2 linked regions of the Kluyveromyces lactis genome follow. The protein of the gene in region 2 purifies or fractionates together with the protein of the main gene of each other region. This does not show direct contact. Links are inferred from orthologs where the notes say so. Each region holds a gene or a part of one and is shown on either strand. Other genes may lie near its edges.

Region 1 (5,122 bases), on a different chromosome or scaffold from region 2:
CTAGAGGATATTAGCTTTGACTTTGAGTTGGTTTCGCCTTTCCCTAGAAAACAAACTCCAAATGATCCATCCATTCAATTGAAAACAAGGTCAGAACTATGGCCAAACGGGAGTCTCTTGATAGAATCATTGGACAATGATGACAGCTCCGAAGGAGAGGATGAGAGTGATGACGCTGGTCATTCAACATAACGATATAAAATTAAATAGTCAAGTGACTAGGAGTCGATGTTAGAGCATAACAACAGTTTTATCAATAAGATTTGTTTAAGGTGGGTACAAGTTTGATCCGACAAACCGCCCAGTTTGTAAAGAATCAAATTCGTACACATCAGGATAACGTCAAGGCCTTCGTAGGCCTCCTACAAGTTCAAGACAATTCTACATTACCATTTTCTTGAAGAGACACAAAATAATGGTGGTTGATGCACTGTAATGTCGGCAATGCAAGATTAAGAATCACAAATTGGAAAATGGACTAAGACAAAATCCACTGATCGGATGCAAGAAACAATAAGTTGTTGATTCGTTTAAAAGCGCAGTCTTTGACGCTGACATATATGTGCCATTTGTAACAATTCTGAGCTGGAGTTAAGGTTGATTTTCAAGCACAGTTACAAAACACAACCAATTTCCCTCGCGAAATTGATTTCCATGATCATCACTACTTCTTCCTTACTCTGGAAGACCTCTTTTCTAGTCGCAAAGATAAATAATAAAACAATACAATAATAATCCACTATAAAAACATAATCATTTTTTCCTTCTCCTCACGATCCTTGATGTTCTGTTCGGATCCACAAGTAAAAAGATTTTTTCCTGATGATGGGAGGTTTTTCCTATACTAATATTTAATTTTTTTTTTTATTCTCAATCCATCAAGGTTGATACCTTCAATTCATTCCCAACAATTGTGAGTAAATTCAAATTCCAAGTAAAGTTCAGAGGTTTCTTGGTGTAACGACAAAGTATGAAAACAACGGGCGAAAACAAGAGCTTATAACTCCCTAAGATAGTAAGCATAATAATTCTGTTAAAAGTGACAAAAGAAAGCTAATACCAACTCCGATGATAATGGTAGGGACACACGGTTTGATGCTTGAAGTAATTTCACAACATTCTTAGATGAAAGCTATTTGTGCACTCCAGAAATCCTCTAATCTCTAACTGGAGATCTTTCACGCGCTTGGTAGCCTTCTCCGCTGCCTCTTTGGTAGTCTTCTCTTGGTGCGTAGTCTCTGTTACCGTAACCGCCACGGCCACCGTAACCACCGCCACGACCACCAAAGTCACCGTAACCGCCTCTTGGACCACCGTAGCCACCACGGCCACCACGGAAACCGCCTCTTGGACCACCGAAGCCACCGCGACCGCCAAAGCCACCTCTTGGACCGCCAAAGCCACCGCGACCGCCGAAACCGCCACGGCCACCAAAGCCACCTCTTGGACCACCGAAGCCTCCACGGCCGCCGAAACCACCGCGACCGCCGAAACCACCACGGCCACCAAAGCCACCGCGACCGAAACCGCCACGGCCTCTAAAACCACCACGACCACGAGAGGATCTGATTGGTGGTGGGTTTTCATCTTTTTCAACAGCCAAAACTGAACCACGGAATTCGATGTTGTTCAACTTTTCAATGGCTTCCTGCAGGATCTCTTCGGTTGGGAATTCAAGAGCACCAGTACCGTCAAAGTCTCTGGTGTTGACACTGGAGAAAGTAGTTTCTAACTGGTTATCTCTGGCCAAATCCTTCAATTCTTGCCAAGCACAGCCTTCTGGCAAGTTTCTGATAATGACTCTGAATCTTGGCTTTAACTTCTTGGAAAATACAACTTCCAATGGGTAGTCGGCAAACATTTTACCGGCAACGTTTTGAATAGCTTGGGAAGCAGACTCAGCTTCTTCAAACTCAACAAAAGCGAACCCATTTAAAATCTTTATTTCCTTCAAAGCACCGAAAGGTTCGAAAATTTCCTTCATTTCAGCATCAGTGACATCTGGAGGGAAAGGCTTCACAAATAGTCTGGTATCAGAAAGCTCTTCATCGTCATCAACTCTATTATTGAAATTTTCATAACTTTGAGGTGGTGGAGCAGTTTCATATGGCTTTTCATATGGCTTTTCATATGGCTTTTCATAGGTTTCTTCTTCGACAGCTGGAGGAGGAGGAACGTCAGACATCTTGATATTTCGCGAGTAAGTGTTCTTGGTTGTACCTTGAGCAAAAGAAGTGAAACACTAATATCTTAGTCAAAAACAATACTGCAACGCCACTCAACGATGATGGAGTAGAATTTTTTTTCCAAAAACCAGGTTTTAAATATGTCTTTATATATAGGAGAAAGTGAAAATTTTAAATGAACATCGGGAAAAGAAAAGACAGAAGAGAATAGTGTCAAACAAGGTTTGGTAGGTAGGGTAAAACTCTGGAATCCTCGGTACAAGTCTTTTTAGAATGAGTGCTGATAAGTATCGCATGCACAGATATAAGCCCTCATACAAGTCATACTCCTACCAAATACGATCTGAGAGGCTATATTGATCAAATGCTCTCATTGCTACTTGTATTTACCATTGTTATACAGAAAGGTAAGAGTGACACATGTATCACGTGACTTGAACTTCAGTTTTTCATTTTTTTAACTCGTCAGAAGTGAGACCGTAGTTCATAGCTGTTTTTCTTCGATAGTATGGAATCCTGGAGGAAAGATACTAGAGCATGCCAAAGGTCTCTTAACATATTGATAAGTCAATTTAGCGAATTTATCTCAGAGGCAAGAAACGAAAAGCCAAGCGAACTAGCAGTTTAGAGGGGATATTTCCGATATTTTGACCGTTCGTTTTCTCTTTGCATTTCTTTTATCTATTTATTCGCAATAAATCGTTATAGAATCGTTGACGACAGTAATCATTGATTAATATACCAAGATCGAAAAAACTGGGTTTGAAATATAAGCGAAGGAATATTGAATCTAAATCCAGGTGGAGAATTCTTGCATTATAAAATACCATGTTTCAAATTCGTAACTATGCCACAAAATATGCACAGTCTCGGGCGCTGAGGAAGTACCCAGTAGGTGGCGTTTTTCACGGATATGAAGTGAAACGATTACTTCCTGTCCCTGAACTAAAGCTAACAGCCGTGGATTTATTGCATAACCAAACCGGTTCACAACATTTACATATTGATAGAGATGATAACAACAACGTGTTCAGTATCGGATTCAAAACCAATCCCCCGGATTCAACTGGTGTGCCACATATTTTGGAACACACAACTCTTTGCGGTTCTCATAAGTATCCTGTTCGCGATCCGTTCTTCAAGATGTTAAACAGATCGTTGGCAAACTTCATGAACGCTATGACTGGTCATGACTATACTTTTTACCCGTTTGCTACCACTAATGAGACGGATTTTGCTAATCTAAGAGACGTTTACCTTGATGCAACTCTAAATCCATTGTTGAATCAGCAAGATTTCCTACAAGAAGGTTGGAGGCTTGAACACACTAAGGTTGATGATCCAAACAGCGATATAGGTTTCAAAGGTGTTGTATACAATGAAATGAAGGGTCAAGTATCCAATGCTAACTATTATTTCTGGATTAAGTTTCAAGAAAGCTATTATCCATCCTTGAATAACTCTGGTGGTGACCCAACTAAAATGACTGATCTTCAATATGAAGATTTAATCAGTTTCCACAGAAATAATTACCATCCTTCTAATGCTAAGACGTTTACATACGGGAACTTCGATTTGAACAATACCTTACAGAGGTTGAATAAAGAATATCAAGGTTATGGTAGAAGGGGTTCTAAGAAGAGGGAACTATTACCAATCCAAATGAAAGAAGATGTTTCTGTAGAAACCGAAGGACAGGTTGATCCTATGTTACCACCGGATAAACAGATCAAGACCTCTGTGACTTGGATTTGTGGTAAACCTGAAGACACGTACCAAACATTTCTATTGAAGATCTTGGGTAATTTATTATTAGACGGACATTCCTCTCCTTTCTATCAAAAACTAATTGAAAGTGGGCTGGCGTACGACTTTTCAGTTAACACTGGTGTAGAGTCGCAGACTGCTGCAAACTTTATCACTATTGGTGTTCAAGGATGTGATGAAGTGGATTCGATATATGAAGTTATTAACAAAGTATGGGAAGAAGTATTACAGAATCCGTTTGAGGAGTCTAGGATCCAAGCAATCATTCAACAATTAGAGTTATCTAAGAAAGACCAAAGGGCAGATTTCGGTTTACAATTACTGTACTCGGTTTTACCAGGATGGGTTAACAAGACTGATCCATTTGATTCTTTATTGTTCGATGAGACACTAGAAAGATTCCAAGAAGATTGGGCCACTAAGGGTGATAATTTATTCAAAGACTTAATCAAAGAATTCGTGATTTCAAAACCTGTATTCAAATTCACCATGAAGGGCTCAGAAACGTTCTCTCAGAAACTTGATGCTGAGGAACAAGAACGTTTGGAGAGAAAGTTAAAGCTCCTTGACGAAGAAGACAAAAAGGTCATTTTCGAACGTGGTAAACAATTGCAAGAACTACAGGACCTCAAAGAGGATTTGAGTTGCCTTCCTTCATTGCAAATTAGTGCAATTCCAAGAGTTTCAAAGACATACCCATTGTTAGAGAAGGATAATGTTTTAAATCGTATTACCGATACCAATGGTATTACATACGTCAGAGGTAAGCGTTTACTAAACCACCATATTCCAAGAGAACTTTATCCTTTCCTACCATTATACGCAGACTCATTGACGAACCTTGGTACTTCAACTGAAGAGTTTTCCACCATTGAAGAACAAATCAAATTGCACACTGGCGGTGTCTCAACTCGCGTATCTGTAAATCCAGATGCACAGACTGGTAAGCCTATGCTGCTATTCCAAGTTGATGGATGGGCTTTGAACAGCAAAACCGATCACATCTTCAAGTTTTGGAAGAAACTTTTATGTGAAACTGATTTCCATAAGCACAAAGAAAAGCTAAAGGTCTTAATAAGATCATTAGCATCTTCAAACACAGCGTCTGTGGCTGAGACTGGTCATGCTTTTGCCCGGAACTTCGGTGCTGCTCATTTAAGTGTAACTAA
Region 2 (6,337 bases):
ATCAGGGTTCAGCAGCTGATTATAACGGTGCACCACCACCACCTGCTTCACAGCCGGGAAATCAATACCAGTTTAGACAGGATCAGTACTACAACTTGAATGCTGAGGGTGAAGGTGCGCCAATCGGTAGTTTCGAAGAAAAATTTCCTGTTGAAGGAGAGGACAGTAAACCAAAATGGAACGATTGGCCATTCACCATTTTCTTCGCTGGATGTGTCATTGCTTTCATTGTTGTTGCTGCAATTACGTTAAGAGCATGGTCCCAAAATAGTAGCTCGCAAGGGTCTGGTGTATATGATGGTGCTAATACTGGTACTTTAACTACCAATTCAGCCATTATGTTGGCTATTTCCTGTATCATTGCGTTTGTGTTTTCGATCATAGGGATAGTGTTGGCTAGAATGTTCCCCAAATTCTTTATCATTGCAGGGATCCTTTTCAACATTATTGCGGGTTTGGCTACTGCCATTATGTACCTTTCGTTGAAATATTACTCTGCGGGTATTGTTTTCCTTGTTTTCACCGCTATTTGTGCTTTATTCTATTGGAGAATGAGACATAGAATTCCGTTCACTGTTGCCGTCTTAAAAACTGTTATGGATGTGATGAAAAGCTATCCACAGACATGGTTTGTGACTTTGATTGGAAGTATTATAGCAACTGCTTTCTCCATTCTTTTCTCAGCTGTTATTGTCGCTACCTATATGAAGTATGATGATAAGGCTAACAACCCAGGTTGCTCCACCAACGGCGGGTCTTGTTCCAATGCAAAGTTGATTGGGTTGCTTGTCTTGGTGTTTTTCTGTGGTTACTACATTGCAGAAGTCATTAGAAATGTCATTCATTGCACTGTCAGTGGTATATTCGGTGCTTGGTATTATTTTTCGAAATCAGATCAAGGTATGCCAAAATGGCCTGGATTTGGTGCTCTAAAAAGATCTCTAACCTACTCCTTTGGTTCCATTTGTTTTGGTTCCTTGATTGTCACTATCATCGAGACTTTGAAAGCAGTCCTACGTCTAGCAGTAGATGGTGTTATGGGTGGTGGCGGAGCAGATAACGGATGGATGCAATGTCTTGCACTAATCGCCAACTGGATCTTCAGCTTTTTGGAATGGCTTGCTCGCTACTTCAACCACTATGCTTACGTGTTCATTGCTTTGTATGGTAAGCCATATTTACGTGCTGCAAAGGAAACATGGTATATGTTGAGAGAAAAGGGTATTGATGCATTAATCAATGACAATTTAGTCAATGTCGCATTGAGCTTCTTCACCTTATTTACATGTTACATCACTACGTTATTTGCTTACCTCTATTTGAGATACACAGATCCTAATTACAATGACAACAACAACTTTACACCAGCCTTGATGGCATTCGCCTTCGTCATTGCTATGGAAATTTGCAACGTGATTACAGAGACCATCAGATCCGGAACTGCTACCTTCTTCGTTGCATTGGGTAATGATCCGGAAGTTTTCCACCTATCTTACCCAGAAAGATTCGACGAAATCTTCAGGGCATATCCTGAAGTCTTAAAGAAACTTTCTCACCAGAACGTTTAAAACTTTTATTTTTTAAGTATGTCGCTGTTGCAGTTTCCCTATAACCTCTACTTTTATGACTAATAACTTTCAATTAATACTATTAATCAATTTGACAATACTTATATATTATTTACCGTTTCACTAATGAAATAAAAGGAATCAGACAAAGTTTCATCATGAATCATAAGCGAATATTGTGAATTAGATCTTATTTTTCAAAGCGTACTCTTTCCTGACTTTATGTGTACATTCTTGAAGAAATGTGTTTCCTTAAATACCAATCGATGAAATCCTTGATATTACCCCTGCAACGTCTATAATCCCTCTGTATTAATGCATTACCGATGCTCATTAGTTTGCTACGTTCGTTAGATTCAATAGTTCCCATTTTTCTCAAAGCAGAGTCTAACCATTCTAAGCAAACAGATGGATCATTGTTATTGTTTTCTGTAGCCAATCTGAATATTTTTACAATTAAACTGATAATTTCCTGGTGAGCTCTACTGTCAAAATTAGTCACAAGGCCATTAATTAATGCTGTAACTATGTTTGAGCCATTCTTAGAGACTACCTGTTCCAATATTGTACATCTCCAAGCGTCCGGTACTTCGGTTATTGACGTAACAGAGATAGGTGGAGTTTTGAACCCCCAAGATGATAAATCATCTAAAAATCTGATCAATGTCATATATGCTTCAAAATTGTCGAGTTTTGGAAGACTCTCTAAATCCCATTGTATTAGGGACGAAATAAGCACAGGAGTGTTCATCATATGTTCAGGGAAAAACATTAAAAGATCATTACACATAAGGAAGAAGTCGTGAACCATTTCAAAGAATTTGTCTAATGTTTGCATTGACTTAAAATTATTGAAGAATGTAGAACATTGCTGACAGGCAAATTGCCACACTGCCTCTTTGACCTGTACATCGACAGGATAATATTCATCGTCACCATAAACGTAAATAATTGAACCAGAGAACCACAAATACGCTCCTAGACCACTTGTTGAATAACCTTTAGCCACAAATTCTGAGACCGCCGGAAGTATTGGTTGTGTGAATAGGTGGTATTTTTCGAAAACACGACGGAAGAATTTCATTGTTCTATCGACAATGATAACATTAGAGATCGCATATGCGTCCAATAAGTTAATTAACTTTGTAATATGTTCGGAAATAGAGGCAATTAACGGTTCTTCAACACCTTGTTCTGGATACTCGAATTTGGGGACAATGTTCTCCAAAATTGCATAAAGCAAATCAATATAGTGTGCAACTTTTGCAGAAAGATCAGGATCAGATGGGTTCGAGATGAATTGCTGAATGATAATGTCAAACCTCTTATTATGTTGGGAGGTGAATGAATTGAATATGCCACCAATCTTCGCTGTTTCCTGCTCATTTATGACAGAACTTAAGCCTTGACACATCTCAAACATAGAGTAGTTGTCAACTGCGCGTTCAATTTTCCAAATAAAATCCACTAACTGGCCACAATAATTAACAAGAAGTGACGAGCAGTCCTGACAGAAATACATTAATGCATTGGAGGCAGCAACAGAGAGATCATGATTTGATTGGCCTGCTTCAAATCCATTGAATATATAATTCAATTGGATTTCCAGTAGATCCTCATGTTTACTGGTCCATTCTGTGTATCTCGAGAATACGAGTATTGTAGAATAAACCAATTTGGGGTGAGTTAGTGGATGTATGCATAGTTGTTTGAAAAGTTGGGGTAGCACAACGTTTTCAGTATGAGAAATTTCATGAGCCATTGTACGAACAGCAAACAAGGCAGCCTCTAGTGGTTGCCAGACCGTGTTAGGATCTTCTTTCTGAAGATATTGGTTGATAAGATTATATGGTTGCTGCAATGCAACGGTTGAACCTAAGACAGCAGCACAAGACTTAAGTACATCACCAATGTTATACCTAAAATCTTTAAATTTATCTTCATCTTCCTTATTTTCAAAAACAGTTTCCGGATAATGCAAATGTGTAATCAAACCATTCGTTAAATTAATAAATACATCCTGATATTCTTTTCTTTGTTGAGCGTAACGTTGTAAAACTAACATTTGCCTCAAATTAAACCAAAATGGGAAAGTATACGAAACGATATCGAGGTCAGTGTTCTTGCAAGTTAATACCAAGATGACTTCAACCAATGGTTTGAATAAGGCAGGATTCTTTGCAAGAAAAACACACCACGCTTCGCCAGCTTCAACGAATAAACGTGTGAGTGGATCCATAATCTCTTCGTATTCTTCCCAGTCAGAAATGGTTGTGATTGGCAATAGCTTTTGTTGCAAAGCTAAAAGTTGCTCGTAAAGCGCATGTATGATTGTATCGTTGGCTGCGTCTCTCGTTTCTCTTAATAACACACATAAGCATTCTACTGCAGCTTCAAAAGAATCAGAATCAGTATCATATGAAGTATGCAAGACTTGGAACACGGTGTTTATCAATGGAGTCACTTGTAATACCTGTTCTATTGGAAATTCATAACACCACGATCCAAAGCACGAAATGATTTTAGAAGCAGATATGCCTTCAGTTCCGACTCTATCCAAACATGAAATCAAAAATTTCAATACGTCTTCTCCAATGTTATCTATAAGTTCGTGTGTTCTACACTCAAATTCATCTTGGGATAGAGGAGTGGATTTGATATCCAATGTTTCCTCTGGGAGAATCTTCAAAAACAGTAGTAACTTTCCCGGAAGACCATTTAGAGTATTAATAATTTCAACTAGCGGATTCCTCCAATCAAGATACTGAATGGTAAATCGGGCTAGTGCCACGTTCAACTGTGTTACTATGATCTTCTCTTCATACATAGCGATGAACTCAAAGAGCTTTCCCTTGAAACTCTCTAATTCGGTATTGACCTGGTTTAGATCATAGGTGACTTTGTTCACTAGAGTTTGACAAGCAAACATTTGCAACTGTAAGTTGTCTGCTTCATGCTTGCTTAATACTTCGAAGCAGATTTGCCATGCTTCTATGCTCTTTTGAAATTGCTCCAAAAATTGTAAAGCTTGTATCTTCTTCTCCTGTTCAGAAACACTTTGAGTACAAATCAATGCACTCTTGATATCTGGGATTTGATACAACATCAATATTGATCAATCACGTCGTTCTTGCTCAACGGTATCTGCTGTGGCAGTTTTTATGAGTTCCTTTTATAGTGCATAAGTAAGATCAAATGTTTTGGTTGATTCAATATATAAAATTTTTTTAATATGTTAACAATAATCCTATTAAACTAATATCAAACGAATTCAACATGGCACTAGTGACTGACATTAATAAAGGATAACTGCGATCTGATTATAGTTACACTAACATCGACCTTCAATACACCGAAAGATTCTAGAAAAAGTCTAAAATGTCCGGCTCTAAAGTAGGAGCTCCTATGGTACCTCCAATCAATTGCATATACAACTACCTTCATCATCAGACAACAGTAACGTTTTGGTTATACGAACAAGTACAGACACGTATAAGAGGCAAGATCAGAGGCTTTGATGAGTTCATGAATGTGGTAATAGATGACGCTTTCGAAATAGCTGTAGATCCGAAAAGTGGTAAAGAGAGCGATGATAAAGCAGTGTTTCTTGGGAGAATTATGTTGAAAGGTGATAATATAACACTTGTTGTGGCAAATTGATAATGCCTACTCAGAAAATGATAATAGGATGAAAGAAAGATGCTTAGAGTGTAGAAGCATTGATCGGACTCTGTCGTGTAATTATATAAGCCTGTATATTATAACGGAAAAATGAAAGGCACTGAAATTTCGATAACGGCGACAAGCACTATCAAGGCTAATAAAGATATATTGTTCGTAATCTTATGGATCTATTTACAATGTGTTGCTCAGATTGGGGAGAATACCTTAAGTTCATATGGTTTCTTTTGTGTCAGTGATATTATCTAAAAGATATATCTCAAAGGACAGAGTCTTTACGTTCTTCCGCTTGTTTAGTTAATTCATCCAATTTGGTATTAATTTCCTGGTTAAATTGTTCCATCTCACCAGATAAAAATTCCTTCACAATTGGCAAACCTACGTATTTGCCGTTGCCCAAAGTACCAAATAATGCATCCGAAATTTCACCTTCGTTTCTTGCTGTTTGTTGAGAAGTCGACAAAGACAACTTATTTCTTAATACATCTTGGTTGTCCGAGGCGAATGCCTTTTCTACACTGGCCACCAGTTGTTCTTCTGTCACAATGAAATGGTCTGCTGCATGACAAAGCTGTACCAAGTTGGCAAGTTTGCGTTCTTTAGCCTTGAATTCAATCAATTCCTTGTTGTGCTTTCTCTTCAAATCCAGAATTTCTTGCTCTTCGGCAGTCCTTTGTCTCATAAGCGGTTGATTCATAATGCCCTCCAATGTTGGAATGGTCAAGTTACTCGAACGTTCTTTGTTAAGCTCTTTCAATTCGGCTTCTCTCTGTTCTTGTAGTACCCTTTCTTTCTTCTTCAATAGCTCTTCCTGCTTTAATAATCTTTGTTCTTCGTTACGTAAAGACTCACTCAAATATTTTCTACGCAACTCTGCTTGATTCTGCTTCAATAACTGCTGTTCACTAGCAGCCGTAGTATTTTCACTCTTAGGTTTCACCGTGTTATAGATAACTTCCTCCACATCAATGAATTTCAATGGAGGTGGATTTCTATGAGATCCTTTTGGATGTTTGATACCCTTAGCATAACCGACACCATTGATACCCTTAGGCTTGGCTTCTTTGACTCTTTCAAGTATACCCGTT

Evidence for each region.
Region 1: the proteins of MTR10 (region 2) and NPL3 purify together in Saccharomyces cerevisiae (affinity purification with western blotting, with the first as the bait; 4 studies listed by BioGRID). This does not show direct contact. The link is inferred for Kluyveromyces lactis from reciprocal best matches to the Saccharomyces cerevisiae genes MTR10 and NPL3.

The regions. Positions count from the first base shown.
Region 1 is NC_006038.1:74,502-79,623, reverse strand, and holds NPL3 (mRNA-binding protein NPL3), read right to left. Parts: upstream 2,186-5,122; coding exon 1,157-2,185; downstream 1-1,156. Other genes in the region: UBX2 (Ubx2p), read left to right, coding at 1-192; CYM1 (pitrilysin family metalloprotease), read left to right, coding at 3,015-5,122. UniProt on the Saccharomyces cerevisiae protein: Involved in mRNA processing and export. Required for efficient splicing of a large set of pre-mRNAs by efficient co-transcriptional recruitment of the splicing machinery. Remains associated with the mRNP during early steps of translation elongation.
Region 2 is NC_006037.1:203,904-210,240, reverse strand, and holds MTR10 (mRNA transport regulator MTR10), read right to left. Parts: upstream 4,675-6,337; coding exon 1,789-4,674; downstream 1-1,788. Other genes in the region: PNS1 (Pns1p), read left to right, coding at 1-1,568; mRNA splicing protein SME1, read left to right, coding at 4,947-5,228; mitochondrial 37S ribosomal protein PET123, read right to left, coding at 5,509-6,337. UniProt on the Saccharomyces cerevisiae protein: Involved in mRNA transport from nucleus to cytoplasm.